4 linked regions of the Rhinolophus ferrumequinum genome follow. The protein of the gene in region 4 binds, or shares a complex with, the protein of the main gene of each other region. Links are inferred from orthologs where the notes say so. Each region holds a gene or a part of one and is shown on either strand. Other genes may lie near its edges.

The links.
Region 1: the proteins of F2 (region 4) and SERPINC1 are in contact, whole or in part, in a crystal structure (PDB 1TB6), measured with the Homo sapiens proteins. The link is inferred for Rhinolophus ferrumequinum from reciprocal best matches to the Homo sapiens genes F2 and SERPINC1. Residues at the interface, in NP_000497.1 of Homo sapiens: Leu389, Leu390, Cys391, His406, Cys407, Tyr410, Pro412, Trp413, Asp414, Lys415, Trp455, Arg456, Glu457, Asn458, Leu459, Asn506, Thr510, Trp511, Thr512, Ala513, Asn514, Val515, Gln519, Arg541, Ile542, Asp562, Ala563, Cys564, Glu565, Gly566; in NP_000479.1 of Homo sapiens: Lys258, Glu264, Asn265, Arg267, Tyr285, Glu287, Gly288, Lys289, Glu345, Met347, His351, Ala419, Val420, Val421, Ile422, Ala423, Gly424, Arg425, Ser426, Leu427, Asn428, Pro429, Asn430, Arg431, Val432, Lys435.
Region 2: the proteins of F2 (region 4) and SERPINA5 are in contact, whole or in part, in a crystal structure (PDB 3B9F), measured with the Homo sapiens proteins. The link is inferred for Rhinolophus ferrumequinum from reciprocal best matches to the Homo sapiens genes F2 and SERPINA5. Residues at the interface, in NP_000497.1 of Homo sapiens: Arg383, Pro386, Glu388, Leu389, Leu390, Cys391, His406, Cys407, Tyr410, Pro412, Trp413, Asp414, Lys415, Trp455, Glu457, Asn458, Leu459, Asn506, Arg541, Ile542, Asp562, Ala563, Cys564, Glu565, Gly566, Asp567, Val588, Ser589, Trp590, Gly591; in NP_000615.3 of Homo sapiens: Gln241, Lys295, Lys296, Arg297, Thr368, Ile369, Phe370, Thr371, Phe372, Arg373, Ser374, Ala375, Arg376, Leu377, Asn378.
Region 3: the proteins of F2 (region 4) and F2RL3 are in contact, whole or in part, in a crystal structure (PDB 2PV9), measured with the Mus musculus proteins. The link is inferred for Rhinolophus ferrumequinum from reciprocal best matches to the Homo sapiens genes F2 and F2RL3. Residues at the interface, in NP_034298.1 of Mus musculus: Glu385, Leu386, Leu387, Cys388, His403, Tyr407, Trp410, Asp411, Arg428, Arg453, Glu454, Asn455, Leu456, Trp501, Gly502, Asn503, Trp508, Thr510, Gln516, Arg538, Ile539, Asp559, Ala560, Cys561, Glu562, Gly563, Asp564, Val585, Ser586, Trp587; in NP_032001.2 of Mus musculus: Asp54, Lys55, Pro56, Asn57, Pro58, Arg59, Gly60, Tyr61, Pro62, Gly63, Lys64, Cys66, Asn68, Asp69, Ser70.

The regions. Positions count from the first base shown.
Region 1 is NC_046305.1:8,763,025-8,770,612, forward strand, and holds the start of SERPINC1 (antithrombin-III), read right to left. Parts: upstream 3,010-7,588; 5' UTR 2,906-3,009; coding exon 2,865-2,905; intron 954-2,864; coding exon 584-953; intron 281-583; coding exon 65-280; intron 1-64. UniProt on the Homo sapiens protein: Most important serine protease inhibitor in plasma that regulates the blood coagulation cascade. AT-III inhibits thrombin, matriptase-3/TMPRSS7, as well as factors IXa, Xa and XIa. Its inhibitory activity is greatly enhanced in the presence of heparin.
Region 2 is NC_046289.1:8,631,042-8,638,700, forward strand, and holds the start of SERPINA5 (plasma serine protease inhibitor), read right to left. Parts: upstream 3,014-7,659; 5' UTR 2,895-3,013; exon of another isoform or gene 2,885-2,894; intron 1-2,884. UniProt on the Homo sapiens protein: Heparin-dependent serine protease inhibitor acting in body fluids and secretions. Inactivates serine proteases by binding irreversibly to their serine activation site. Involved in the regulation of intravascular and extravascular proteolytic activities.
Region 3 is NC_046301.1:50,264,266-50,270,872, reverse strand, and holds F2RL3 (proteinase-activated receptor 4), read right to left. Parts: upstream 2,472-6,607; 5' UTR 2,280-2,471; coding exon 2,171-2,279; intron 1,896-2,170; coding exon 781-1,895; 3' UTR 506-780; downstream 1-505. UniProt on the Homo sapiens protein: Receptor for activated thrombin or trypsin coupled to G proteins that stimulate phosphoinositide hydrolysis. May play a role in platelets activation.
Region 4 is NC_046294.1:14,304,409-14,311,971, forward strand, and holds the start of F2 (prothrombin), read right to left. Parts: upstream 3,012-7,563; 5' UTR 2,969-3,011; coding exon 2,890-2,968; intron 2,512-2,889; coding exon 2,348-2,511; intron 1,668-2,347; coding exon 1,643-1,667; intron 1,403-1,642; coding exon 1,352-1,402; intron 35-1,351; coding exon 1-34. Other genes in the region: ATP synthase F(0) complex subunit C2, mitochondrial-like, read left to right, coding at 6,297-6,641. UniProt on the Homo sapiens protein: Thrombin, which cleaves bonds after Arg and Lys, converts fibrinogen to fibrin and activates factors V, VII, VIII, XIII, and, in complex with thrombomodulin, protein C. Functions in blood homeostasis, inflammation and wound healing.

The sequences.
Region 1 (7,588 bases), on a different chromosome or scaffold from region 4:
TAGCTCCTCAATCTCTAAGTGGAAAGGAAGAATTCTGAGGTCAGGGATGACGTCTGCAACTCACCTTGAAGTCCAGGGGCTGGAGCTTGGCTCCATACACCACCTCACTGATGTCCTGGTAGGTCTCATTGAAGGTAAGGGATTTGTCTCCAAAAAGGCGGTTGGCTGATACCAACTGGGAGGATTTGTTGGCTTTTCGATAGAGTCGGCAGTTCAGTTTGGCAAAGAAAAAGTGGATCTGATCAGATGTTTTCTCGGAGATGGTATCAAATTTGAAAACCTGTAGAAGCCAAAAGAAAATGCTGGTGGGTCTGGTGGGGCATCCGGGCTAATGTGGTGAGCACGGTGCAGTCAGCCCCAGACCGAGTGCCACCTCTGGTGTGACCTCCTTCAAGTACAGTGACTGGCACATCATAAATGTTCTGCTCATGCTTTCTAAATGAATACATGGATAAAAGAATAAAGGGTAGGAAGGAGAAAGGGAAAAAGAAACACAAGGAGACTGGGATATGACCTAAGGTCTCTAAAGGGCTCCAGGCCCATACATAGTAAGGACGCTGGGCAGAAGGACTGTGGACTGTACCTCCATCAGCTGTTTGAGGGTGTTGTTACAGGCACCCAGCTTGGTCATTGCAAAAGCTGTGGAGATGCTCAAGGGTGACAAGAAAATGTTGTCATTGTCATTCTTGGAGTCTGCCAGGTGCTGATAGAAGGTGGTGGCAAAGTTGGAATTGGCCTTGGACAGTTCCCAGACCCGCCGGTTGGTGGCCTCAGGGATTTTCTGGTCTGAGCCCTCGTCCTCAGTTGCCTTTTTCTCTGAGGAGCGGTAAATGCACATGGGATTCACAGGAATGTCCCGAGGCTTGGCAGTGCAGATGTCCTCTATGGGGCTCCAGTGACAGGTCACACAGCCCCAGAGACCAATGAGCAGCAAGGAAAGAAGACATACCCTCCTATAGGGGGACAAAAAGCTGAGTTAAGCTAGGCTGGGAGACCCCCTATCCCCACTGCCCAGCCCAGACTTGGCCTAGGAAAGCTTAGGATGCCAGCCCACCCGGTGTGACCTAGTACTTTGTACAGAGCCCAGGATGAGTCCAGTCCTGGATTCCTAGTCAGTGGATAGTTCCATTTGCCTGGACATAGTCATGTCGAAATTAGAATCAACTATTGAAGCAACTGATGCTTATTCAAGTATGTGTGCCTGACGCCCCATGCTGGGAGAAAGAATGCAAAGCCTCCAGCTGTGACATGGGATGTGCGCACATGAAAAACAGTGCCCAGTGAAGAGTGAGGGTTGTAGGAGGAGCTGTTTACAGAGCTGCCTAGGGAGGCCTCAGAAATGGATGGACTTTACCCTGGGTGTTCGGGTTGGAAGGATTTCGATTGATACTGCGGAGAGATTTCAGATACAAGAGGGGTGAGAAGGAATGAATGGGGCAGAGGTGCTATCTGTGTGGGGAGGACCTCATAACAGTAGCTCCAGCCCCAGCCTTCCGCTGAGCTCCAGACTGATTGTTGGCTGCACAATTCCACCTGGACGTCCTACACATTCCTTAATGAAATACGGCCAAGCTGAACTTGCCAATTTCCCCACATACCTGTTTCTCTTTCCATGTCCTCCAACTCAGCAGATGGGCCCCTCATGCACCCTGCTTCCTCCCTCACCTCATTTAGTCAGACCCTAGATTTGATCGATTCTGTTTCCTTGCCCTCTCACTGCCTTAGTTCAGGCCTCATCCTTTTCTGTGGCCTGGAAATTGTAATAGCTTCCAGCATGGGTTCACTAAAAGTAAATGAAACTAATTTCACTTTTTAAAAAATGAGATCATGAGATTGGTAAATTAGGAGAATTGTGACACCCAAGTAAGCAAACCAAGAGAGAAAACACTTGTGGTATTCCGTAGCTAAGACGGGTGCGGGGATTGGGGGCAGGGGCTTCCTGTGGCTGACGTGGGTCCCTCCGTCTAGGGAAGGGAGTGTGTGTGTGAGGAGCAAGCCTTCTCAGTCTTCCCCTGGCAGAAAAAGACAGGCATGCAGTGCAGAAAGGATTAGCTGAGGAGGCCTGCTGGGCCAGTGTGGGACTCGCTGGCGGGAGCTGGGGGACTTGGCTTCGTGTGTGAGCTGAAGCCAACTCTGTAGCCGTTTGAAGAACACAGGCCTCGAGTGGGAGAGAAGTGGAGGCACCGAGGGAGCTGTGGAAGGCGGCGTGAAGAAGCAGAGACAGAATCTTGTCATTCATGTCTCCCTCTTGCTGCCTACTCTTTCCCATCTTGTCCCTCAGCTACATTTGGAAATACAAGTAGAGGGCCCTGGGAGCTCTGTTAAGCACAAAGCAAAACCAAGGTGACCGAGCCCTAGCCTCACTTGTAGCTTCCTACAGCTAGCCAGACCAAGGTGATGGGTGGCGTGTTGAGGGAGAAGAGGGCTGCAGTCCTTTCGTCAGTCACAGGTCACCGAGATCTTGGGGTGGGAGGTGGGGGGCAACCGAGGGGAAGGAGGAGCAAACAGGGTGTCAGGGGGTCCTCACAGTTTAAAATTGGCCCTCATTTCAGATGTAGACCAAGCCCCGGAGTTCCCCTTGGAGGGTCTCCTGGACTGTGAGGGCTGGCGTGGTGTCTTCACACAGGGAAGAAAGACGTCCCGTTTCTTGAGCTAAGAACCCAAGGTGTGGCTTAGGGAAAGGCCTGACCCCAAGGCGGGTGAGAGGGAGGGCGCTGGGAATGACGTCTCCAAACAAGTTCTTTGATTGTAACCACCAGGGAGAGGGCTTGGTCTCCTCGAAGGTGTCAAGGTCACCTTCCTGAGTCCTTCAGAGGTCAGAAGACCCACTGAGGGCACGGAAAGGGGAAGCTCACCCCTCTTACCTTTTTCCAGCAGCTACAGTTCCTATCCCATTGGAAAACATGGCTGCTAATCCTCCACGGGGCTGGGCACTGTGGTCTGAGGCAGTCGCTCTGGAAACTGGCTCTTTCCTCCCAATCTAACTGAGGTTCCAGAGGCGAAGGTGGGGGAGAGGCAGGGGAGGAGGGGAGGACTGAGGTCAAAGGCTGATGACCAGCCCCAGGGTTAAGCAAAGTGTGGAGCCCCATGTTGTTTGATTAGTAGAGAAGTTTTAAAGTTCAGTCAGGCCCAGGGAAAGCAAGGCCCACCTTTCTTACCTGTACTCCCTCTATCTCTTCCTTATCTTTATCATAGAAAAGGAAAAGGAGAATGTGTTCACAAACTCAAATTAGGTCAGAAAGTGCCTGACTGAGGAGAACTGTGCAGGATTTTTTTTTTTCCTGGTTACCCAAACCCAGAGTAGAAAATAGGTGAACATAACTTGCCAAGTTGAGTGTCTGGAACGTTCTAGCCTTCCACCTGCTCAGTGCAATACCCTTTCTTTCACAGGTTTCTTTAGGAGAAGCGATAGAGAGTCCATAGTATCTAATCAGAGCGGGAAGAAGAGGATTTTTCTGGAACAAAGTGCTATTTTCAGGCTTCTAAGAGTCAACACATCTGTGACCCAGACCAGGACACACGATGGTTACACCTGTGGTCCGCAGATGGAGCCCTTCCCCGCTCAGCCCTGAAGTGACGGGAGGAGCCACAAGAGCACAAGTATCCTTGGGGTGCATGCCAGCGATATTTCTAAGGTGGATGAGCTGGTTGGGAGGCACTTAACACAATTCGACTGGGGGTCAGGAGGCCGTGTGTGGGGCCGGTAAAATCATACAACTGCTGCAATACCTCTTTGAAAGCAAACAAACCGAATTACCTTTTTTGCGTGCATTGTTTTTTTTACTTATTTTAGTTATTGGGGAGGTGAAATGAATTCAAACTAATGTACATAAAGGGCCCATTTATTTATATTTTCCTCTTCCTAAAGAGCCAAAAACAGTATCACCAGGATTGCTACAATAGTTCACAGGGTACGTCTGCACTTTCTGTGTGGAGACTCTTTGAAGTTGGTACAGTCATAGGAATTCTCGAGAGTTCTCTAATCACGAAACAGGAAATCTCTATCTGGACTGAAGCTGTGTGTAAGTTCTTGGCTGATTTAGAGCCTGGACACCTTACGGACTCCCATGTGCAGTGCGAACAGTTACAAGGACCTGTCCTAAAGGACCCGAGGATGCTAGAGGCTCCTTGTCACTCCAGATTAAAGACAATTGAAAATTCTCCCGTCCAACCACTTGTGTCCAGTAAATACCTGGGCATTGTTCTAGGGGCTGGGGACCCCAGTCAGAGGAGACATGCAACGATCACATAAAGAATCAGTGTATGAATCAGTATTAATAGAGGCCATGGGGAAACATACAACAGGGCAAGGGGATAGAAAGTGATGGGGGAAGGTGGGGAGGTTACCATTTTAGAAAGGGTGGTAGCAAAGGCCTCCCTGATGAATCGCTGCAGGGCTGCAGAATGCTCCATGACCCTTCGAAGGGAAATCTGGCAGTACCAACATTGCAAGTGAATTTACCCTTTGCGCTGGAAGTCCCACCTCAGGAATGTCTCCTACAGATACCTGCGCGGGTATGCATGCGATCACCAGCTGTAACCTGATTTGTGACAGCAAAAGATTAGAAACAACATCTACAGGAGACCAGTTCAATAAGCCAAGGTACCTCGCCCACTGGAAAACTGAGCCCTGGTCAGAAAGGATGAGTTTCCTCTCTGTGTGCTGCCAGGGAAGGGCTTCAGGATAACTCATGGGGGAAAGGCAAGCTGCTGAGCAGTGTCTCTAGTATGTCACCTTTTGTATCACAAAGTGGGAATGGTGGGGCTGAGGGGTGGGCACTCAGAGTGGGAGGAAGACTTGCCAATATGAACCTCCTTATTCCATTTTCTACTTTTGAACATGTCAATGTATTTACCCCCTCCTCAAAAAGGCCGTGACTTTATGAGCAGAAGGGGATCAGTGTTGTATTCCTCAGAGGCCTGGGGAGAGGGGACTTCCAGGGCATGTCGGAGGTGGAGGCAGCACCAGAGAGGAATGAGAAGCAGGCTGAGCCCCTGGCTGGTGACAAAGGAGAAAAGGTGAGTGAGACCAGCCCAGTTCAGTGTCCGAAGGCGGAATAGAGCTGCTTAGCTGTGTCCTGCCTGGCAAAAACTTTCTAATGGCAATATAATACTCCATTGCCTATAATTTAACTATTCCCTCTATTAGCTTAGGTCAAATTCTTTAAATCTTTGAATATGATAACAGGTGCCATTTTAAGCTCTTACTATACATATATGTTTATATACAAAAGAACACAGTTATTACAGAATTCTATAAAATATCATGTGAAAAAGAGTTTTGTTATATTTTAAAATACTGATTGGTAAGATCAGAGGAGACAGTGATTAGGACTGAACTATTCAGAAAAATCACAGTATGTTAACAAAGGCATTAAAAGAGATTTAAGTCCAAGGTCTATATGCACTCTTCATTGATGTGTAAGCAGAGACAAAATCACGAGGAAGTCCGCCTCATCAGAACGATTGGTGCTCTGATCCCAGAATGGCAGGGAAAGTCACGGCACCAGCCGAAGCCCTGGCTTTGTCACATACTCGTTAGCTATGCGATCTTGGTTGTGCAGCACCTCCCTCAGGGTCACATTTTTAAAATTTCTGAATGGGGACAGAGTATTGATCTCTCAGGGATTTTTAAGGATTAAAGATCATTCATGGGTTTACTGTGATAGAGTTCATATGGTTACATTTCCTCCTGGGAACACAGCTGAATTCTCCTTTCCAGCCTCCCCTACAGTTAGGTGGGGACACAGGATTACATTCTGGGCAATGGGGTGTTGGTGGCCATGATGTATGCCATTTCCAGCAGAGTCTCCTAAAATGGCCCCTACAGTCCTCCAAGCTCTGTCTCCATGTTCAGGATAGACGACTTCAGGACTTGGAAGAACATGGAGAATTTATCCATCATCAAACTTGGTGGCTAAATGACTGTACTCCCAGAAGGCCCTCATTAGACTGTGACGTGAACATAAATTTGACTACGGCTATGGTTGTATAGAAGTTAGCTGGTACCCAAATACTACAAAAATGCTGCGATGTTTCTTTTTTCCATTATTAACTAGTAGCTTCTGAGTAGCACATAATATTAAAGGGAAGTCTACTGTCTGACAACCCAAGTGCCATTTGATCTACTTAGATTAATTAATTTAGTTAGCAATGTTTATGGAACCCTGATATGCCAAGGTCTGTTCTAGACACCGAGAATAGGATGGTAAATTTCATGTGGTCCCTGCCTTTATGTAGCAAATATTCTAGTGAGTGAAACAGAAAATAAACAAGCTAATGGACATAAACCCATATACAGAGACACACGCACATATGTATATATGTTTTTTGTTTTTGTTTTTTTAACTTACTGCATGCCAGGATCCATGCTAAGTGCTGTACAGGCATTAGCTTATATAACTCTCTTGTCAGCTCTACCAGGAAGATGCTATTCTGCTCAGTTTAGAGATGAGAAAACGGCTGTTCACAAGGGTTAAGAACTTGCCCCAAATTACAAAGCTGGCAAAGCTGAGATGCAAATCCTTGTCTGCCTGTGTCACAGGTCTTGGGCTCCTACGTGATGGCTGTGAAGAAAACATCCATGTCTTCCCTGTCCAATTGTTTTTCTTGGGGCAGGGTTTATGACATGCCACCATCTGGATAGTCTCTTCCAGTTTTTCCATGATTCCCTCAAAATCCAGGGCCTAGAAATGAATCCAGGAACTGCCACCTTTTTCTTTGGTTACTCATATTTTAGTAGAAAACATTCTCTGATGCACATTCCGAATGTGCTTCTGAGTTGTTCTTCTGGGGTCCTTCACACCAGCCTCGTCTCTGGTTCTCACTGCTCACAACTGTTCTTGCCTGTCTCTGTCTAGATTTTGATGACCTGAGTCCCCTTCCCCTTGATTCGTCTTAGTTGGTTTGATGAGGAAAGGAAAAGAGCGTGTATGCAGGGCTCTGGGTGACTCCCTATCTACCTATCTATCTAGTCATCTGTCTTCCCCCCCACACACACACACACTGTCATTAGTCTTCTGTAAAGTGTTTTAATCATTGTAAATATTTAATATATAAAAGTATGTTTAAATCAAAGTCATAGAAACTGGTAACCCTTTCTGGAAGCGGAGGCAGACTTCGGAACTTTTACCAAGTACATAGTAGTTTTTGAAAAGGCTTCCCCACATCTGAGTGGAAGCTGGCAGGACAGCTCTTTGCTTTGCTGTGTTAAGGGTAGGTGTGGGGAGCCACGAAGAGGAAAGAACATAGCATCCAATCACCCTGTCTCTTTTTTAACACGTCGAGGTCAGTACTAGAACAAGAATCCCCCTCTCCCTAGCCCTGCCTCCAGTCTCAGCTGCAGCCCCCAGGAGCAGGTTATTCAGCTGGTCCTTGCCACTGCCTCACATCCGGGCTACTCTGTTCTTTCCTTTGGATCCAAGAGTAAGACCTGGGTGGGGTGCAAACAGCAGAGCTGAGCTCCTGCTGTGGTTACTGTGTAACTCAGAGCTTAACTTCCATGGAAATTTGGCAAAACATCTAACACAGAAACCAGAGTTGCCTGTAACTCTCCCCGGCTTCCAGTTTACTAGGTGGTTGGTTGTGA
Region 2 (7,659 bases), on a different chromosome or scaffold from region 4:
TGTCCCTGGCCTCACCTTTCCTTGACCTCCCTATAGCTTAACAACGGAACATCCCCCTGATGGTAGAGCTCAGAATGACCCCTGTCCCACCCAGTTCCCTGTTTCATAAAATCACCCTGACACTTACCGTTAACACCCTTAGGCTTATTGACCACAATCTCTATGGTCTAGTATTCTTTCCAGGATACTCCCATCATTGTTCCTGGGTTGCTGACCTCACCAGAGAATCGCCTGGCCAGAGGGAAGGCTCCAAGCAGAACCCCCCACCCCAACCCCCATCACGTAGCTTAACGTCCAGATTTCCCTTGGATACCCCAAGCCAGTCGGAGGATGTTAAGGCAGTTTTTGGATGTGTTAACCCACTGCCTCTTCAGACCACGGGTGCTCTGATAATAAACACTCATTCTTATAGCCAACTCCTGTGTCAGTCTATTGGCTGAGCTGCACAGGCGGCACTCAGTTGGCCTCCCATTTGAAGCAAAGCCTGACTTGGCTGACTCTCTCCTGGGTCCCTAAAGTCAGTGTTTCTGCAGAAATGCCCTCACATGTCAAAGGGAAGGGAGCGGAGCACTCAAGCGGTGCCCTCAGTTGCGTGCATCCTTTGGGCACACTTCCTTTTTCACTGCCTCAAGCACAGAAAGCCCCAGCTGAGCCCAGGGCCCTTGCACATTCTGCTCTCTGCTGGAACCCTCTCTCCACCTTTCTCACCAGGCCAAAGGGACTTGAGTCAGCTGGGGGTGGGCAGGCCCTGGGCAGACCTCCCACTGCTCCCCTAACATCCATGGACCCCAAATCTGCTGTCATTCATTTTAAATGCTAGATAACAAACTCCCATCCAGGTCAATTTTGGACTCAGCTGCCGGAGTTGTGTGGCTGAGGTGGGTGTGTCCACAATCTGCTAATTACAAAAATACATGTAAGATGGAGCCCCGGCAGAGAGACAAAAACCCAACTTCCCTTGGGACCTAAAGAGCCAGGGGCAGAGCTTCCTGCGAGCTGTGGTCTAGGGAACTTTCCTAACCCCGCCATCTTCAGACCATCAGCAAGGCTTGTCAGTTTCTAGCTCCAAAGTGTGTCTTAAATCTGCCTGCTTCTCCCCAGTTTTCCAGCCACTACCTTAATGGAAGCTCCTTCCATCTTTTACCTGGATCGCCCCACTTCTCCTGTCCCCATGAGCCATTCTACAAAGCATCTGAAAGAATCGCCTTCATTCACAAAGTCACAGTGCTCCGCTGCCTAAGAATACTGTTGCTGCCCATTCATTGCAGGGTAAAATCTAACTCTGATTTGTGCAACAACGCACGGAGCCCCATGCCGCCGGGCTCTGCCCAGCTCTCACCAGCCTCAACTTGACCTGCTCTGCCCTCAGTTGTGTGGGTCCTCTGGGCGCACTTCTTTTTTCATTGCCTCAAACACAGCAAGCCCCTGGGCCTTTGCACATGCTGCTGGAACCCTCTCTCCACCTTTCTCACCAGGGCTAGCATCCCTGCAGGCCTCAGGCTGATGCTGGAAAGTTTTCCCCTTGACACCCTCTTCATGCTTGGTCCTCCCTCTCCACTGGCCCCTTCATTGTTTCTTTTATCTTTCAGTCAATTATATAAGCACAATTACATATGCATTTGTTGTTGGCCTCTTTTGTTCCAACTTGTCTCACCCACTAGGATACGTGTTCACAATAGAAAGGCCCCTCATCTGTCCTCCCTGCAGTCAAGGGGTGGTGCTCCGCTACCTTTGTGGAATGAATGAATGAATGAGTGAATGAACCCGTCTCATTCTCTGTAATTCAGAGGTGTCGGACCACATGTTAGAAACACAGCCAGGCGGGGCTTCCAGAGCTGAGCTCCAGCGGCCCTGGGGCTAACTCGACAGGTGACCTTGAATAACTCCCCCTGCTGCTCAGACGCAGTTTCCTGTCTTTTTCTTTTTAAATACCACTTCATTAAAGTAGGATTTCATGTGTACAACCTGATGAGTTTGGAGGTAAGTATACATCCGTGAAACCATCACCACCATAAACGCATCCATCACCTGCCAAACTTCCACTGTGTTGCCTAGTCTTGACTGTGAAGGAGGATATTGGCCAGGGGAGCAGTTTCCCTTTACTGTTGCATTTCTTGCCAAGAGCCTCATCCTTAGAAAAACTAAAAATTCCACTCATTTTATATTTCTGTTTTGTTTACTTAACAAATGGCCAAAAAGCTTCTGGAGCTGGAGCAGCTGCCGAGGAGCACACTGGGTGGCAGGCCCCAGACGGGGTGGCCTTATCTTAGGGAAACATTATCGTTGATCATTTCTCCTGCTCTCTAAAGGATAGCAATTCCAGGCACAGAGAACAACGCAAGCAATGCTTTACGGAGCACCCCGTGTACCAGATATTTGTCCCCACTTCCTTAAGCTTCCTCAGCCTCAGCACTGTTGGCATTTGGAGCTGCATCATTCCCTGTCGTGGGGGTGGCAGTGGACTGTCCTGCTCATTGTAGGATGTTTAGCAGCCTCTCTGGTCTCTACTCACTGGACGCCAACTGGACGCCTCCAGTTGTGACAACTCAAGATCTTTCCAGCCTCGGCCAGATGTGCCGTGGGGATAAAATCATGCCTGGGTGAGAACCATCACCTTACTTAATCTTCAGTCACACCTTGCAGAGGTGCAGTACGTTGCATCTTACCTATAAGGAAACTGAGGCTTAGCTAGGTTTCCTGCTGTGCCCAAGGTCACCTCTGCCGTCTCAGAGGCTGACTCTTTCCTCAGCACTGCGGGGAGTTTTTCCGGCTCACTCTGGGACACCTCCAAAGCTTTCAAGCCCTCCAAACCCCATAACTCCAGAGTCCATTTCTCAGCCCTCCTCACACACACTCATACCCACAGGTCCTCTGTCGGCAGTACCTGTACTTACTCTGTCCCGTGGCCCAGTATGCACACAGTGGAGGCACAATGGTCTGTGGGGCTCTGGAAAGCGCAGCCGGCTGGCTAGAGTGGAGCCAGCTTTTGCCACTGACCACAGCAGGGACCTGACTCCACCCCTCCCTGGCCCCGCCCCAGCCAGCCCTGCCCTGTCCTGTTGTAGCCGGCTTCCAGCCAACAATTAGGCTGTGGGCAAAGCCACCTGAGCTCTGACCAGGGCCACCCGCCCACTGCCCTGCAAGCCCCTGAAGGGGAGCAGAGTTGGCCACCCTAACATATGCCCCTTTGGGGATATTGATTATTCTAAGCTGGTTAATTTTAAGACATGGCAGTCTGGGGAGAAGCCTTGAAACCCACTTAGAAGTTCCCCTTTGTGAAAGGACATTTACACTTGGAACGTACCAGGCCTGATGGAGACGGCCTGGACTGAAACCTGCACAACGACCTGACCCCTGTTTCCTGTGCTTTTCCTGGTCACCGTTCCATAACTGACCCCCCTCCCAACCCCAACATTTTGTTTTGTCTTTAGCTGAAGGTGGTATTTAAGGTGGTGGCTTCAGACACCATTTGCCTGCAGTGGCACAGGAACTCCTGGGAGAAGAGGCTAGACAGGCAACCAGCTGCCAGCATTCCAGACACAGAGAAAGGGACACCCTCTGGCCGACCGCCCTTTCGCCAGGCTGATACCTTTGTTTCCTGCAGTCAATTTGCTGTAGATCTGGGGAGTGGCATATGAATTCAAGCTCCCCACAGGCCTACGTGCTTACTGTGTTCATGGACCCACCAGCCAGATTCTCGTGGAAATTAGAGGGGTCCAGAGAGTCTCACGATGACTGAAAAGAAGGGATCATTGGAACAACCCCCCGTTCTTGCGCCAGCAACTGAACTGAGGCTCAGAATGATGAAGGGATTTTTCAGAGTCCTGCATCAAAGCAGGGATAGAGTGGGGCTGAGTGTCCAAGCTTCCGACTTCAAGGTCAGTGCTCTTTGCTTAAAAAAGGGCTAAGATCTCTGTGGGGTCAGCTCGACTGTCCTTTTCTACCTTGAAAGTGGAGCTCCTGAACTCAGCCCCACACTTTCAAGAGTATTTCCACGATGCTGATGCCGACTCAACCCTTCATTCCTAGGGACTTCCTAATACTGGGGTGCACTGTGTGTAGCCATGATCCAGAAGGTTGTGGGGGTGCAAGTGGGGTGTGCAGTTGGCAGAGGAGACAGAGGACCAGGCATTTCCCAAGGGAAAGGCTCTTGATGCTCAGCAACACAGGGTCTCTCTACAACCTCTGAGACAGTTCCCTTTCTTTCTCCATGATTTTAGGGTCTGTTTATGGCCCATTTTCTCTTTGAATGCTTACAACAATGCTACAAAGGGGATCCTCAGCACTGCCTCAGTCTAGAAACAAACACAGTCCCTACCAGGTATTGAGTGCCTGCTTTGTGTTCACGAGGCCCTGGAAGGTGGGTACTAGCATCCGCACCAAGTCAGTGAGAAGGTGGAAGCTGAGAGTGGTTAGGTAATCAGCCCAACCACTCTAGGTAATCAGCACACAGCTAATGAGGAAAGGCACTAGCAAGGGGGTAGCTGGGTCCCTTCTGCCTAGGTTTTGCTTTGTTGCTATTGTGCCATGTGACATAAGCAAGAATCCTTTATCTCATAACGTAGAGATTCCTAAACTATGTTCTATACCAGGGGTGTCCAAACTTTTTTCAACATTTTTCACCAAGGGCCATATGCGGTAGAATACACAAACAGCCGGGCCACTCACTCGAGGTGAAGTACGTATTGCCTCACCTGGTTTATTTAAGTAAACTAAATATAGTTTTGGAATTTGCTGCGGGCCAATTAACAATGGATTGCGGACCAAAGTTGGCCCGTGGGCCGCAGTTTGGACACCCCTGTTCTATAGGATGGAAATCATTATTACACACCTGTGGTAGAATGGAGACTAGCCCCCACCCCCAAGATGGCCATGTCCTGATATCTGAAACCTGTGAATGCTACTTTATACGACAAAAGGCACTTTGCAGATATAACTAAGTTAAGATCTTGGGGATTATCACAGATTACTCAGGTGGGTCCTAAATGTGATCACAAGCATCCTTATAAGAGAGCGGTGGGAGGTCAGAGCCAGAAGGAAGCAATGTGGTCATGGAAACAGGAGAACAGACAATGTGATGTGAAGCCATGGCCAACGAATGCCTGAAGAAAGCCCTGTCAACTTCTTGATGGTGGCTCTGTGAGACCTATTTTGACTTGTGGCCTCCAGAACTGTAAGAAAATAAATCTGTGTTGTTTGAAGCCACTAACTTCATCATAATTTGTTGCAGCAGCAACAGGAAACCAGAACAATAGCCCAGAATATGTCCCAGCTGAAATACTTGGGGAAGATGGGAGTAACCAAGATACTAAAAGGCTTCTCCAGTCTGTGTGTGCTATTCGTGTCTCCAAGCTTGCATTTTAAGGAATGTCTCAAATTTGGGGGGATGTCTGTAGCAACCCCTGACTCCACATTGCTACTCAGAAAGGGTTCTGAAGGAATGGGGGTGGAGGATGGGTAAATTTTGAAGGGAGAGGTTTGAGGGCTTCTTAGAACATGATGCCCTCGTGCTTTAGTCTGCTAGAGCTGCCATAACAAACTACCACAGACTGGGTGGCTTGTTGAACAAACTCACAAAGAGTCTGGAGGCTTTGGCTAGAAATAAGTGATAAATAATTTTTCAAGGGATTTAGGATTTGCAAACTATAAACGAACACAACTAGGCAATATCCAGAGTGTTCTGAAGAAGAAAGAAAAGCTAAGAGTTCTTATAGAAAAAATTATGTTCTTGAGATGAATCTGTCCTCCACAATGAGCCTCTGGATTGGTCCCAGATGGTCATCCTCCAGAGGACCAGTGGTCTGGGAACTGGATGTCAGGTGGTCTGGGTACTAGATGTCAGGTGGTCTGGGTACTGGATGTCAGGTGGTCTGGGTACTGGATGTCAGGTGGTCTGGGTACTGGATGTCAGGTGGTCTGGGTACTAGATGTCAGGTGGTCTGGGTACTGGATGTCAGGTGGTCTGGGTACTGGATGTCAGGTGGTCTGGGTACTAGATGTCAGGTGTTCTGGGTACTGGATGTTAGGTGGTCTGGGTACTAGATGTCAGGTGGTCTGGGTACTGGATGTCAGGTGGTCTGGGTACTGGATGTCAGGTGGTCTGGGTACTAGATGTCAGTCAGACTGAATACTGGATGTCAGGTGGTCTGGGTACTAGATGTCAGGTGGTCTGGGTACTGGATGTCAGGTGGTCTGGGTACTAGATGTCAGTCAGACTGAATACTGGATGTCAGGTGGTCTGGGTACTGGATGTCAGGTGGTCTGGGTACTAGATGTCAGGTGGTCTGGGTACTAGATGTCAGTCAGACTGAATACTGGATGTCAGGTGGTCTGGGTACTAGATGTCAGGTGGTCTTGGTACTAGATGTCAGGTGGTCTGGGTACTGGATGTCAGGTGGTCTTGATAACTGAGCATTCTTTCCTTAGCCCTTTAGGGAGTCTTCAGAGGGTTATCTGGAGGTCTGATCTATGTCCAGGCACGAATACAGGACTGGAAAGTTCAGATGTTTTTAAGTTCCCAGGCTAGTTAAAAAAAAAAAGAATAGAATCAGTTCCTCATATCTCAATCTACCTGATTTTGGTAATTTGGCAGCTTGACAATAATGTCTCTCTTCAGTCTTTTCTTCAGACTTAGCCAGAGGAATTTATTTCTCATAGTTCTAGAGGCTAGAAGTCCAAGATTAAGGTGATGTCAGCGTTGGTTTCTGGTGAGATCTGTCTTCCTGGGCTATAGATGGACTCTTCTTGCTGTGTCCTCATATGGCCTTTTGTGCACACGGGAAGAGGTGGGGGAGGGGGAGAGAGAGAGAGAGATCGAGCTCTGGGGTCTCGTCCTCTTCTAAGGACACCAGTCCTATGGGATTAGGGCCCCACCCTTATAACCTCATTTAACTTTATTTATTTCCCTAAAGTCCCTGTATCCAAATATAATCTCATTAGGGTTTGGGCTTCAACATATGAATTTTGGGGGGACACAATTCAGTCCATCACAATGGGGATGAGAGCACGGGATGGGCCAGGGGTCAGAATATTAAATGGACCAGATGGGTCATAATCGATTTATTTTTCCACTGATATGAAGAAAAACAAAGCGCACCATCCCCGTAGTGATACATTAGGTGGGATTATCGCTATTTTATAGGTGAGGGAACTGAGGCACAGAGCGGCAGCCCATGGCATCATAATGAAGTTCTAACCCTCAGTGCCTCAGAAGGTGACTTTATTTGGAAACGGGGTCACCGCTGATGTAATTAGTTAAGATGAGGCCGTTGTAGAGAAGGGTGGGCCCTAATCCAGTATGACTGCTGTCCTTATAAAAGGGGAAATCTGGACACAGACACACACTCTGGGAGAACGCCATGTGAGAGGAAGGCAGAGGAGCACTGAAGACTGCCAGCCACACCAGGAGCTGGGGGAGAGCCTGGGGCAGGGGGTCCCTCCCCGTCTCAGAAGGAACCTGTCCTGCCCACTCCGTGATCTTGGACTTCCGGCCTCCAGAGCTGTGAGACATAAATTTCTGCTTGTTATTGTTAAGACAGCCCTAAGAAACTAACACACTCAGTAACTGGTGGTGTTCACATTCGAACTCGGGCATTCTGGCTCTAAAACCCAAGTTCTATACTCAGTTCTCTGAGGCCTCTTGATGTCTCTGGAAGTACT
Region 3 (6,607 bases), on a different chromosome or scaffold from region 4:
ATCAGGTCCTGGGGGAGGGGAGTCAACATCAAATGAGAAAAATCAGATGTCAGGTTAAGGGGAAGAAGTGACATCTTGCAGCCAAGAGCTAGCAGGAGACTAAGCCCCGTTGCTCCCAATGATGAGTTCCGCAAGGCTTTGGGGAACAGAGTGGGGGTCTCCGCATTGCTTGCTCAGGAGACGCCCTGTACCCTGACGCCTGTCCTGGAGCCAGAAGCTGGGCTTCTGAGAACAAGGACCACCAGTTAGGCTCCCAGACTCTTGAGCCACCAGGGGGTGGGGGGCCTAAGCTTCCTCGGTAGGGACCTCCAGCTGGTCTAGGGTGGCTTCAGCCTCCTCTCATCCCCACCTTGGACACGAGAGAGCCGGCTGAGCCCGGGAATCTGCATTTACCCCTGTCATGGTTTCCTGGGTTTCTGTCACCAAGTACCACAAGCCAGGTGACTTAAACAACAGAAATTTATTGTCTCAGTTCTGGAGGCTGGGCTGAGATCAGGCTGTGGGCAGGACTGGCTCCTGCAGAGCCTGCGGGAGAGTCCCTCGGAGGATGCTCTCTGGTTTCCGGTGGCTGCCGGCAGCCCTTTGTGTTCTGGCCTGTGGCCCACTCACCCTGATCGCTGCCTCCGTAGTCATGGCCTTCTCTGTGTGTATCTCGCATCAGTCATGAGGGGTTCATACCCCAATATGACCTCATACTCATTACACCTGCAAAGACCCTATATCCTAATGAACAAGCTCATCAGAGGTTCCTGGTGGACATGAACTTGGGGGGCACCCTCGTTAACCCAGTACAACCCCTCTCTGTTGCCCTGCCTCCTGAGGGCCGGTCACAAGTGACGAGGACCGGGTGCCTGTGCCCGGGCTGCCCCTCTCTCTGGAGGTCTTGGTGGCTCCCTGCACCCGGCGCAGTACCACCTCCCGCACTTTGTCCCTGAACTCAGCTGATACGTAGTAGTAGACGAAAGGGTCCACGCAACTGTTGAGGGTGCTGAGTGCCAGGCTGGGCACGTAGGCGGCGTACAGGTGCCTCCAGGCGTCCAGGTCTGGGTCTGAGTAGTGCAGCAGCAGCAGCACGTTGCTGGGCACGAAGAAAGCCACGGCCGAGGCGAGCACCAGTGAGGTCAACCTTAGCGCGTGCCTGTAGCGCCGGCCACTAGCCGCCAGCGCACGCAGAGTGGCCCCGTAGCAGAACAGCATGGCCAGCAGGGGCAGGAAGCAGCCGAGCACAGCCAGGCAGAGGAAGGCGGGGCGCCAGTGGGAGGCCTGGGTGCCCACGGGCAGCACGTCATGGCAGACCACGTGGTCCGAGCGCGACAGCCGGAAGGTTTGCTGCTGCAGCCCCAGGGGCAGCACGAGGGTGACTGCTACCAGCCAGGCTGCAGTGCAGAGCCCAGTGGCCAGGCGCTGGCCTCTCAGGGCGCGGGCCCGCAGTGGGTGCACCAGAGCCAGGTAGCGGTCCAGGCTGATGGCCGCCAGCAGCAGCACGGAGCAGTACATGTGGCCATAGAGCGCGGCCATGTCCAGGCGGCAGGCGGCCTCGCCAAAGGGCCAGCGCTGGCCCCGCAGGTGGTAGGCGATGCGGGGTGGCAGGGCCAGGGCTAGTAGCAGGTCGGCGGCTGCCAGGTTCATGAGCAGCACTGTAGACGGCAGCCGAGGCACCCGCGTGGCCAGGACCCACAGTGCCAGGCTGTTGGCGGGCAGCCCGACGACCAGGACCAGCCCATAGAGTGCGGGCACCAGCCTTGTGGGCACCCAGCCCAGCAGCAGTGCCCGAGAGTTGTCCCAGAGCTCCAGAGTGTCGCTGTTGTTGGCGCAGTGCCAGCCAGGGAAGCTGCGTGGTTGAGGTGGGCAAGGGGTCGCTGCCTGGAGCCTGGTCCAAGGTCCCAGGGTGCCATCTGGGGGAGGGAAGGAGGATGGAGGCACTGAGAACCCAGGCATCACCCCCCTTCCTGCCCTTCAGCCAGTACCTCCAGTGAGATGGTGCTGCCCTCCCCACTGACGCCCCCAGGGGCTGCAGTCCAGGCCCCAACTCAGGAACCTCCAGGCTGTTGGGACAGAGCTTGACACAGTCCCTTGGCTTCAGGACTGGGCTGGTGGGACCCCAGTTCTGCGTCCTGCCCATCTCTGATACCCGCCTGCACAGCCCCAGGCAGCGCCTGGAGTCACTCACCATCTCCGCTCCCTGTGCTCCCGCCCTCGTCGTAGATGCTGGGGGTCTGAGCGCCACCCTCCAGGCTGAACCCCAGGGCCAGGGGACACAGCAGTAGGAGTACCCACATGCTGTTGGATGGAGCTCCGTGCCGGCTGCTCTAGGCCGCGGCGGACTGAACTCCGGCTTCCCGTTTGCTAGACCCCCCGCCCCCAGCTTCCTGAGCACAGGCAGAGGGCAGAGAGGGCTAGCAGACACGGCCTGGTGAGATAAACCAGCCCCTGCCTCCAGCCAGCCTATGGGTGGCCCACGGATGACCTAAGGTGGCCTGCTGGCTGGCACCACTTTGGCAGAGGTGCTTCACGGTGTCCAAGTGTTGGGCCAGTAAGATGGGGGAGGACGTCCTAGGCTGCAGCACCTCCACCGGCCCCTGTCCAGCTCAGGAAACCTCTGTGGTCCAAGTGGTTACTTCCTGCTGGCCAGTCGCAGTTCCCATGACAGCACAGCCTTCCAGGTCACATTCCCCGTCAGGGGCTCTTGGCCTTTCCCGAAGCCTCTCCCACCTCCGTCTCTAGCAGGCAAGAGGAGAGCCCTGCCTTCCAGGTCAGAGGTCAGAGCAGGTGAACCAGCACCCCCACACCCCTACACACACACCCAAGCACCCCAGGTTTTCTGTGGGGGCTGCCCCTGGGCAGGTACAAAGTGAAGTGTGGAGAGGGGAAGGCACCTTGTGAGTCTGGGGTCTGCTGGGGATGGCCAAGGAGGTGTCACTGGTTGGCTGGAGCCTCTGACGCTGACCATGTACTGCCCTGGGGGTCTGAAGGGATCCTGGCTGCAGTCTCCTCTGGGAGGTGTCCATCTGGCTGGTTCTGGAAGTTCCTTCTGTTCCTCTCCTGGCCCCACCTCAGCTTGGGGTCCCAGGTGTGACGGGGAGGGTGGTCATAACCATATCTGAGCCCAAGGGAGGCGGCCAGCACAGAGGATCCTCTGCCCACCCTCCCGGGAGCCCTCCTTTCTCTGGCCCCTCCACATTTCTGCACTCAGATGGGGTCCACTGTGCAGATGAAGAAACTGAGGCTCAGAGGGGAGGGTACACCTCTCCCCTGCACTCAGTCTCCCCCCTCATTCATGCCCCTGCAGGCCCCAGAGAGGCCTCCACTCTCACTGCCCTGGGGGAGCCCCTCACTGGAGGTTCTCGACCCTGTGCAGTCATCCTTGGGCCATGGTGGCAGGGGGCATGTCTGGGAGCAGGAGGGCCCCCAGGGGACGGTGGGGGGTCAAGGAAGAAAAAAAGCACAGGGGTGGGAAAAGGGATCAGATATGGTGTGTCTTGGAACAACAAGCCCTAATCTAGTCACACACTCCGGGCCCCGCAGGAAGTGACTGAGCAGCCTAGACAGTGGGGCTGGAGGCTGAGATGCTGAGGTCCCTGCCCTCAGCCCCAGGGTGGGGGGTGGGGACCAAGGCCTAGAGCACTGCCGCTGAGGCAGGAGGCTGTCCTGTCTCAGCCAGGAGGCTGTCCCCCATTTCTGAGCAGTTTCCACTGGTACCAGTGACAAATTCAGTCCCATGCCCATATCTCTGGGCACCACATGACTGGTGATGCCCTCAGTGCAGGAAAACTGGGATGGGGACCCTCTGCCACCCTCCAGGGAAACCTGTGCAGGGGAACGGGGGGCTGGAGACACTGGGCCAGGGCAGACTGGGGTCCCCCAAGGAGGGCAGTTTAACTCAGGGGTTCTGAGTCCAGGAATTTATGACACACACCTTGCAGGATGGCATCTGTACAGGGATATTCCCGGCAGCACAGGGCAGAGGGTGTCCCCTTCACGAAGACAATCCAGTGTGAGCAGGAGGGAGGGATCCCAGACAAGGCAGATGGAGGTGCAGGCCGCTGTCCTGTCCCAACTGGAAGACAAGCCATGTAGAGGCACCTCCTGGGGGACCCTCGGGCAGCTGCCTTTGGGGAGAAGGACTTGGTCCCTTACTTTTCTCTGTATGCTTCTTTGTACAATTGAAATTTTCTGTATGTGTGTCCCTTTCCATGAAAGCTTGTGTTTAAAAAAGGCAGAAAGGTAGCTTTAAAAAGAAAGGGAGTCCCCGGTTTCGGCACCAAAAAAAAAAAAAAAAAAAGAAAAAGAAAGGGAGGACCAGCCCGGTGGCTCAAGCGGTTGGAGCTCCGTGCTCCTAAAGCCGAAGGCGGTCGGTTCAATTCCCACATGGGCTAGTGCCAGATGGCTCAGTTGGTTGGAGCGTGGGCTCTCAACCACAAGGTTGCCAGTTCGATTCCTCGACTCCCACAAGGGATGGTGGGCTCCGCCCCCTGCAACTAAGATTGAACACGGCTCCTTGAGCTGAGCTGCCGCTGAGCTCCAGGATGGCTCAGTTGGTTGGAGGGCGTCCTCTCAACCACAACGTTGCCGGTTCGACTCCCTCAAGGGATGGTGGGCTGCGCCCCCTGCAACTGGCAACTGAAACTGGACCTGGAGCTGAGGTGTGTCCTCCACAACTAAGATTGAAAGGACAACAACTTGACTTGGAAAAAGTCCTGGAAGTACACACTGTTCCCCAATAAAGTCCTGTTCCCCTTAAAAAAAAAAAGTGGTTATTAAAAAAAAAGAAAGGGAATTCTGATGCATGCCACATGGATGAACCTCGAGGACATGATGCTGAGTGAAATAAGCCAGACACAAAAGGACAAATACTGTGTGATCCCACTTATATGAGGTCCCTAGAGGAGTCAGATTCATAGACAGAAAGTAGACAGACGGTGGTGCCAGGGGCTGGGGGAGGAAAAGGGGGAGTTAGTGTTTCATGGGATCAGTGTCAGTTTGGGAAGATGAACAAGTTCTGGAGGTGGATGGTGTGATGGTTGCCCAACGATGTGAATGGACTTAACGCCGCTGAGCTGTGCTGTTAAAAATGGTTAACATGGTAAATTTTGTGTGTATTTTACCATAATTTAAAACTTTTCTTAAATGGTGATAAAAAAAGGCAAATAGGCCCGACTCAGCAGCGAGGCAGTCCTGGGTTTCCTCAGCCTCCAGCCCCGGCAGGAACCCCGGAGGCCCTCCCTTACCACCTCTCCCGCACCTCACTGTCCTCAGTGGAAGGTGGGGGTCTCGGAGTGGACAAACCCAAGTCCTTCCAAAGCAACTCTTCTCAGGTAGCCGTCTTTGTGGGAACTGTGTTGTCATTATGTTGTATTTTGAAGCCAGATGAGCTCCCACATGTGCCTCCAACTCCCTTTGTGCCCAGGCTGGGCCTCTGTGAGCAGGACGTTAACCCACTGGACTGACTCAAAAGGAGGGGGCTGTGATCCCATCTTGCTGGGTGCCAAGACTTGAAGTCCAGCCCTCCAAACCCCAGATGCCCTGAGCTTCTGTGGGGCAGAGTCCCAGAAAGCAGTTTCCTGGCTCTCGGCCTCACGTGGAAAGGTGCTGGCCAGTTATTAGATGGCCATCAGCTGTGATCAGATGGCCATCCACTGTGGCTGGGTGGCCATCAGCTGTTACCGGTTAGTCATTAGCCACTAATATAACTGCCGTGGTACGCAAGGGGGTTGGTTAGTTGGTTGGCAGAGAAGCGGACGGTTTATTGCGGATGGATTGTGGATCGTGTGGATCCTACATCAGCGGTCTCTCCCGGCCACCAGCGAGACTAGTGCAGGAAGACCCCTTGGTGGGGTGCAGGCAGATGTTTACTTCCTGTGTCTCTACCAGCCACCGTGGAGAATATGTAAGTACCTCAGCTGTGAGCCCATATTGTTCCAGCACAGTGCCCTGAGAAACCCTGGCTGTGCCTAGAAGTAGGTGGACATCGAGGGACACCCCCTGGGACATTACTTGAACTAGACTGAAACTTTTTCTCATGAGTTGGGTTCCTGACACGGGGCCCCTGGCGGAAGACACTTGTCCCGTAGATTGTGAGGCGAGACCCTATAGGGGTGGAGTGTGGGGACAGAGACAGGACAGCAGTTTCCAGGCTCTCGGCTTCACATGGAAAGGTGCTGGCTCGCGTAGTAGATGGTCAACAGCTGTGACTGGTCAGCCATTAGCCACTGATATAACTGCCGTTGCTAGGCTAGGGGTTGGTTGGTTGGCAGAGAAGTGGACGGCAGATTGCGGATGGTGGGTTGCGGATCGTGTGGATCCTACTTCCTGTGTCTTGCCCGGCCGCCAGCAAGCCTGGGGTACAGGAAGATCCCTTGTTGGGGTACTGGCAGATGTTTGCTTTTGTGTCTCGACCAGCTGCCAGCGAGAATATAGTGGTATGACTCCCCCACCCATGGCTCCGTGGGTGTTCCTTTTTGGCCTCACCATATCCTGCGTTCTTGTGTGGGGAGCGGGAGCTGAGTCCCTGCATGACAGTTTCCACCCTGGGACCCCAAATCTGAGTCTGTTCGACCGTGCCATGGTCTGGAGTTTCCACACTCAGGGCAGCAGGGAGAAGGTACTG
Region 4 (7,563 bases):
CGGTAGTTCATACCCAGACCTTCAGCACAGTTACCTGCAGAGACCCCAGTCCGTCCCCCCCCTTTGTCTTAGCAAAGCTCCATCTACCCCTTCCAAACTCCTTCTGGCTCACAACTCTTAACCTGCACTTACTCAGCACCTCCTCTGCATTCAGCAGTACTCCAATCCATTTAACAGTAGTCACCAAATATTTACTGTGACACAGGGACAGGCGCAGTGCCAGGTACTAAGGACATAGTGATGAATAAGACAGTCATGATTAAAGTAGGTCCCTGCCCTCATGGAGCTTATATTCAGTGGGTCCTCATGGCCAGCAGGATGAAAAAGTGAACAAGGCCTAACCTGACCCTGGTCTACCTATCCTGTCAGCTTAGCGCCTCGTGCCTCAGGGCCTTTGCACATGCTATTTTCTTTGCCTGGGAATGCTCTCCTGTTTGTCCATCAATGTATCTCACAAATCCGGGTAAAACTCTGCTGCTTCTGGGGAGCTGTCCCTGATTCTGTCAGCAAACTAAAGGCTCTTTCTCCTGGCATTCTCTTGGTACCTGGAACAGAATGTTTCCTGCAATTACATTGATGTTTTATGGTTTTGTTTTCCTATGAAATTGTGAGCTTCTTGATTCTCTCAAAACATCCAGCACTTGACAAAGTGCCTGGCACCTAGCAGGGGCGTAGTGAAATGTCTGTTAATAAGTGATTTAACAAATGAAAGTATGGCCAGTGATTAAAGAGTTCATGTTGTGGGGTCCATCGTCACACTAACAGTGTATTCAGAAGGCTCAGCAAGGTGGTGCCATTTGAACTAGACCTTGAAGGACAGGGAGATTTTCAGTAGGAAGATGACAATGTAAGGAAGATCCAGGAAGTAGGACCATCTTCGCATGTTCGGAGAAGAGCTTGCTGTCAGAGTAGCTGGGGTCTGGGTTCACGGTTGGTGCAATGGAAGATAACGCTAGAAGGGGAGGTTAAGGCCAGAACCTGCAATGTTTGCCAGTCTAAGAAGCTGGTGCTTTATGCTGGAGGCACGGGGCAGCCACTCAAGGTTTTGGAGAATGAATGTGACATATTCGGAGCTCTGCCCTGGAGACATGGGGAAGACTGGCATGGACAGGGCTTCAGATGAGAATGAGGCCTTGAACATTAATTCATTATCCATTCATTCATTTGTTCCTTCAACATTAATCATCTTACCAGAGCTAGGTGCAAAATAGCCTTGACAGCAGAACAGAAAGGCAGAATCAGAAGCTGGGGGCTGCCGCCGCTGGGCAACCTGCTGACCCACACGCCTCTGCTTTCCTCCCAGGCAGTCCCCTTCATATCCTGACCTCCCACCCCCACATTGATTCCTCACCTTCCAGACATTCAACGAGCTTTTCTCGAGGTTTCCTCACCGACTCACAAGCTGGAAAAGACCCAGAAACACATTTGGAGTTGGGGTAAGGACAAGGTGGGCTCAAGTAAAGGGTGGGATGACATTCAGAAACAGAGAGATGGACAGACAGATGGAAGGGACGGAGGGAGGGTGTGAGGGAGGGAAGAGGCAGGGGTGGGGGTGGATGATTGGATGGACCATAGAGTAGTACATTCTCTAAGTGGGGTCCCCAGGACTTTCTTCCTGAAGCAGACCCTTCCCAGTGCTCACCTGTGTACTTGGCCCAGAAGGCATCCTGAAAAGCAAGGGCTGAGCATGAGGCTATGGCAGGATGCTGTTGTGTTTTGGTTTTTAGTAAACATTATGTCTTCTCCTTATACTTTTCTCTTTCCCTTACCCTGGTCACTCTGGGAAGGTTTGTGGCAGTTTCCTGCTTTTGTTTCCAACTGCCCCGGCCCACTAAAGAGAGGAGAGCTTTCCCACCCGCACCCAAGTCTGAAAGGGATTCCCCTGGGTGGGGTAGACTAGAGAAGAGAGGGCATGGGGTGCTGGCCGTGGGGTTCAGGCAGAGCCCCAAGGAAGGGAAAGGTTGCAGGGTTCCCGGAACAGAGAGGCCTAGGCCCAGGGCTCCCAGCCCCACCAGAGCCCCACGCCCCAAGATCGCAGAGACTTAGCAGAAAAGCTGAAGCAGAGAGGCCACGGGGGCAGAGGCTCCAGAGATCTTGAAGTAGACAGATGTCTGAAGCCTGAGAGGCCTCCCGATGTCCTGGAGCCTCATCAGCCCCCAAGACCAGACATCTGGACCTCCAAGGTCCACAGGTTGTTCACCTTGGCAGCCAGTGAAATGGGGCCCAGAGATAGAATGAGGTTAAAGAGCTGGGATGCTCCTCGCTCCCCTCACTTGTGCTCCTAGAGTTGGGCCCACTGGGAGGGATCCCGGCCCTCGTCCGAGCAGCCTGGCCCTCCCTCCCTCACCGTGGCACTGGTCGACTCCAGCGCCTCGAAAGCCTCCTCGTAGCTGCACTGCTCCTCTATGCACTCTCGCTCCAGGTTGCCCCTGCGCATTTCCTCCAGGAAGCCACTGTTGGCGCGTCGGACCCGCTGGAGCAGCGACATTGCTTGCTGAGGGTCCAGGAACACTGCAGTAGGAGGGGCATGGGACAGTGGCCTGAGGCAGCCTGGCTGTCTTGGCCATCGTGGGGGCAGGAAGCAAGCCTGGCCTGGCCTGCTGGCTTCTGAAAAGGGGTGTCTGGGATGGCGGCAGGACCTGAAAGGCTGCTAATGGTAGCCCACTAGCTCCCCTCCTTTCATGGGTCACCCCAGTCCACTCCCCATATGGCAAGAGAGAAGTCGTCACTGTCTGGCCAGATCTGAGCACTGGACTCCTTCCCTAAGCTGGATACTGTGGCTGAGGCCCACCTGGGGCTGGCTCTGTGCTCTCTATCGAGCCAGGGGACCTCAGCCATGGGCCCGTATCCCAGTCTGCCAGCCTATCCCAGCTTCCAAGCCCCCCTTACCATGCTGGCTGTGCACAAGGCTAAACAGGGCAGCCAAGGCCAGGCAGCCAGGTAGCCACGGGCCTCGGACGTGCGCCATAGTGTGTCGGCTTGGGACGCAGAGGGCTCATCCTGACCTCTCAGGTTAATGTTAAACTACTATGAAGAAACCAGCTGAGAGGAAGTGGTCAGCAGGTCAGGGCCATGGGGACAAGTGAATAGATACTGTGTTTCCCCGAAAATAAGACCTAGCTGGGCCATCAGCTCTAATGCATCTTTTGGAGCGAAAATTAATATAAGACCTGGTATTATTATATTATGCTATACTATATATTATATTATATTACATTATATTACATTATTATTATAGACGAGGTTTTATATTATAGTAAAATAAGACCGGGTCTTACATTAATTTTTGCTCCAAAAGACGCATTAGAGCTGATTGTCCAGCTAGGTCTTATTTTCTGGGAAACAGGGTAATCCACCCGCCATTTGGGAGCACAGGTCCTCCTAGGACCAGAGATGGATGGTCTGGGAGGAAGTCCCAAAGGAAAGACCAATGTAACCACCATCATCCAGCCCCCACTTCCCTGAACATGTGCCAACTGCGGCCAGTGGGTTCACAAGGTCTCTGCAATTCCTTCCAATCCTAACATATGGTGACGGTTGCTTTAATCCCTGTGTGCCTCAGTTTCCTTATCTGTACATGGGAAGAGTACTTTGATGGGAAGATTAAAGGAGATTGTGAATGGAAAGCCCATGAAAGTGCTTACTAATCAGTAGGTACATGGATGTAAACCAACAGGGAGGTTTGTGTGATTCCCACAAACAGATACAAGAGAGACAAGGGTGAAGTCAGCAAAGCGCTGCCCACCTTGCCCTAGGACACACTTGGGGCAGGGACAGCCAACATTTGCTCTCAGCCTCTCAGCCACGGAAGGAAGGTCCCATTTTCCCTGCCTCCCACCTGGGGAGCTGTGGAGGAGTGTTTGTGTGCAGGGGTGCCCGGGAGGAGGAGTCAGGGCCAGGCCTCCTAGGCTTCTGTTCTGCTTCCTCTCATCTCCTAGAACCTATTGCCTGGCTTCTGGAAACAGGGGCCAACCCAGTTCCCAGGGTCTCACGGTGGGGCCCTTCCTGCTCCCCCTGTAGGCCTGGCCAGCCTACAGCACCTGGTGGTCCCACACTGCCCCTTGCCCAGCCCTGCTCCCGCCCCTCCCCCACTTCCTGTTTACAGTACACAAGGTAAATATTAGTCCTAGGTCTAAGTAGGACAGAGGGACAAAGAGCAGAAACACAGATTCTTACCTGGCTGTCCTTCGGGACTGACCGTTCAGGGTCTGGACTGCGGTTCTGTACAGTCTGGGAAGATCACAGGGAGGGCTCTTCCCAATGCAGAGAACTGGGGACCAGGACTCCCACGAATCAGCTTAATTCCTGGGTTGCCCAGTTCCTACATTTAGATTTATATATATTTATGTTATATATTTCTTTTCTTTTCTTTTTTAAGGTGAGATTTAACGTATATACCATAATGTTAAAACAAATCCTAAGTGTTTAACTCAAATTTTCATGCGCACACCCATGGAACCATCACCAGATTGAGAGAGAACATTTCCGGCCCCCAACTGCCTCCTTTGCGTCATCCCTAAGAGAACCTCTATTCTAACCACCATCACCGCAGACCCGTTCTGCCTGTTTTTGAACTCCATCTAATGGAAACCTGCAGGATATACCTGTTTGTGTCTGCCTTCTCTCGCTCAGCACGTTTCTGAGATTCATCCACGCTGCGTGTAGCAGTCCTTCCTTTAAAAGCTGCGTCGTCTCTCATTGGATGACTATGGAACATCTTATTTCCATTCACCTGTTGATTGGGCACTGGGATCAGTTTCCAGTTTGGGGCTATTGTGAAGAGTGCTATGAACAATCACGTACAAGTCTTCTGGGACTGATAAGCACTTGTTTCTGTCGGCTCCAGGCCCAGGAGTGGCTTTGCTGGCTCATACAGCAGGCATATGTTTCGGCTAAGTTGCTGTGACAAATAATTGTTTCAAGTGGCTGTGCTAGTTTACAGTGTCAACAGCAACGTCTGCGGGTTCCAGCTGCTCATATCCTCACCAACACCTTACATTATCCAGCCATTTCGTATTAACCATTCTGACGGACATGTAGGTGTCTCATCGTGGTTTTAATCTGTATCCCTGTTCCTAATGACATTGAGCCTATCCCCCCTCCCTTTTTTTAACTAGAATGGTGAAAAGATCTCACCTCACTAATTTCTTTAAAAATTCCATGTTGAGTAAAGAAAGGGAGAGGGCTCCTGAGAAGTGGAGAGAAGAGAGGTGTGGTTTCATCCTTCCTGTCTGGAGGTAAGTGGTCCTTCTTTTTCTGAGGACCAGCTTGGGCCACTGCTGACTCAACCTGGAGAGGGAGAACAGGTAAGGGGCAGGTGTGGGAGGAGTGTGGGGTGTTAGCAGGGAGAAGGACAAAACACGTAACACATGGCACCTCTTCTACTGAGGGTTTGGGGGCCCGGGGGGTTGCCCCCTTGTTTCCTCACTGTCAGAAATCCCCAATCCTGACAGACCAGCACCACAGCACGGAAGACATTACTAGTTTGGGAGGCCAGTCCTTGGTCTCACCATCTGTAAAACCAGAATTATACCAATGTTCACTTGCAGCTAAGTAAGATCATGCTGGACTCTTTGCTGACTCTTATTTGGAGTGGCAGCTTCGCCAAGGCCACGTGTAGACATGGCCATTAACGGTCAACTTGTTGGGCCACGTCTTCTTCAAGCTATTTGCAGACAATGTTCCAAAGCAGAATCCTTCAGTTCTCTGAGCGCTGGGAAGATGAGATTCGGTTATAAGGGTTCCTGCTTTCCTAGACTTATTTCTGGGTTTACCTGTCAGGGTGATGAATTTACACACCATAATAGTATCGGCAGCAAGTCTATCTAGGGGGAGAACTTCATTTTGAAGAATATGCGTCTTGCCATCTCATTCATGACAAATGCTGGACCCAACCCAAATGGCTCCCAGTGTGTCATCTGCACGGTGAAGACTGATGGGTTGGATGGCAAGCAGGAGTTCTGGCCAGGAGAGAGACGGCATGCATATTGTAGAAGCGAAGGGGCGCTTTGGATCCAGGAATGGCAAGACCAGCAAGAAGACTCGAGGCCACTCTCAGTTTGATTTTGTTTTTATCTTATCTCCAACGATTCCTTTTGTTCCTGAGAATAACTCCAGCTCTCACATCCTGTAATCTTTGTGTTCTTGCTTGCTGCAATTCTTTGGATTCCATCCTTATCTCCCTCCAGGTCTAGATGGATTCAGAGTTAAGTTTATCATTATTAAATAAAAACTAAACCAGTCCTCTTCTCTGCTCTGGGAATAGCTCTCCTGCCACAGCCCCTCATCCCCTGAAAATGTGCGCCTGCGCAGGGCTTGTCTCCACCCCCTGGTCAGGAGCACCAATCAGCTGCCGAGCCAGCCAGTCACTGTCTGTAGTGGTGTTGAAACGGCCTGAGACACTGACAGATGAGAGCCTCAGCAGCTTGGCAGCCCCACATATTCTGACCGCACTTATTTCTAGCCGCAGCCTCCAAACAGGCGCCATTTCAAAGGACATCAACACAGTAGCCAAGTGCATTGGGGCTGGGGCTGAGGCTGGAATTGGGACCGTGTTTGGGAGCCTCATCACTCGTTATGCCAGGAACCCTTCTTTAAAGCAACAGCTCTTCTCCTACGCCATTCTTGGCTTTGCCCTCTGAGGCCCTGCAGCTCTTTTGCCTGATGGTGGCCTTTCTCATCCTTACTATGAGAAGGAGCCGTCTCCACCTCCCATAGTTCTTTCTCCCGTCTCATCTGCCCTGTATGTTCCTTTTCCTATACTTCCCCAGGCAGCCTGGGGAAAAGTGGTAGGCTCAGGGTTTGACCGAGGAAAGACAAATAAATACTGCATTAGAAAAACAAAAAAACTAAACTACTTACCCCCCAAATAAATCATGTTTGTGAAGTATGACAATGCTTGCCACATGGTAAGCACTAAATAAACAGCACTGTTATGTGATATGATAATAAAACTGGAAATACACAATGCTGGCTATGAAGGGTTCTTCCTAAACTAGCGAACCTGGATCAAATCAAAGCTTTGTTTTAATTACTAGTTTACAGGAAATATAGATGATAAAAGAATAAGACCACCACATCGTGGTGAAATGAGGGACACTTGACATGACAAATAACTCCAGTTTCTCTGACAAATTTATGACATGGAAATAAAAGGGGTGGATGAAAGAGACTGTTCAGAATAATAGAAACCTAAGAGAAATCTAAAAACCAAATGCACAAAGGAAATCGAATTACCATCATTGGTTTAGTTTTTTGAATAAAAAAATAAAAAATTAAAAAATTAAAAAAAAAGACTTTTTTTGACAAACAAAAAAGTTTGAATATAGATTTGGATCTCAGTAATAGGAAAGCATTATTGTTAATATAGTTAAGTATTATTTGACACATGGCTATATTTTTTTAAATTCTCATGAGTTATAGATTATACTGAAGAATTTATAACAAACAGATGAAACAAGTATGGCAAGTATTAAGTAGATTCTACTTAGATAGCCTCCATGTTTTCTTGGGTGAATACTCTACTTTGCAGAGGATTGTGGGAGAGCATCCCTTCTGTGAGTG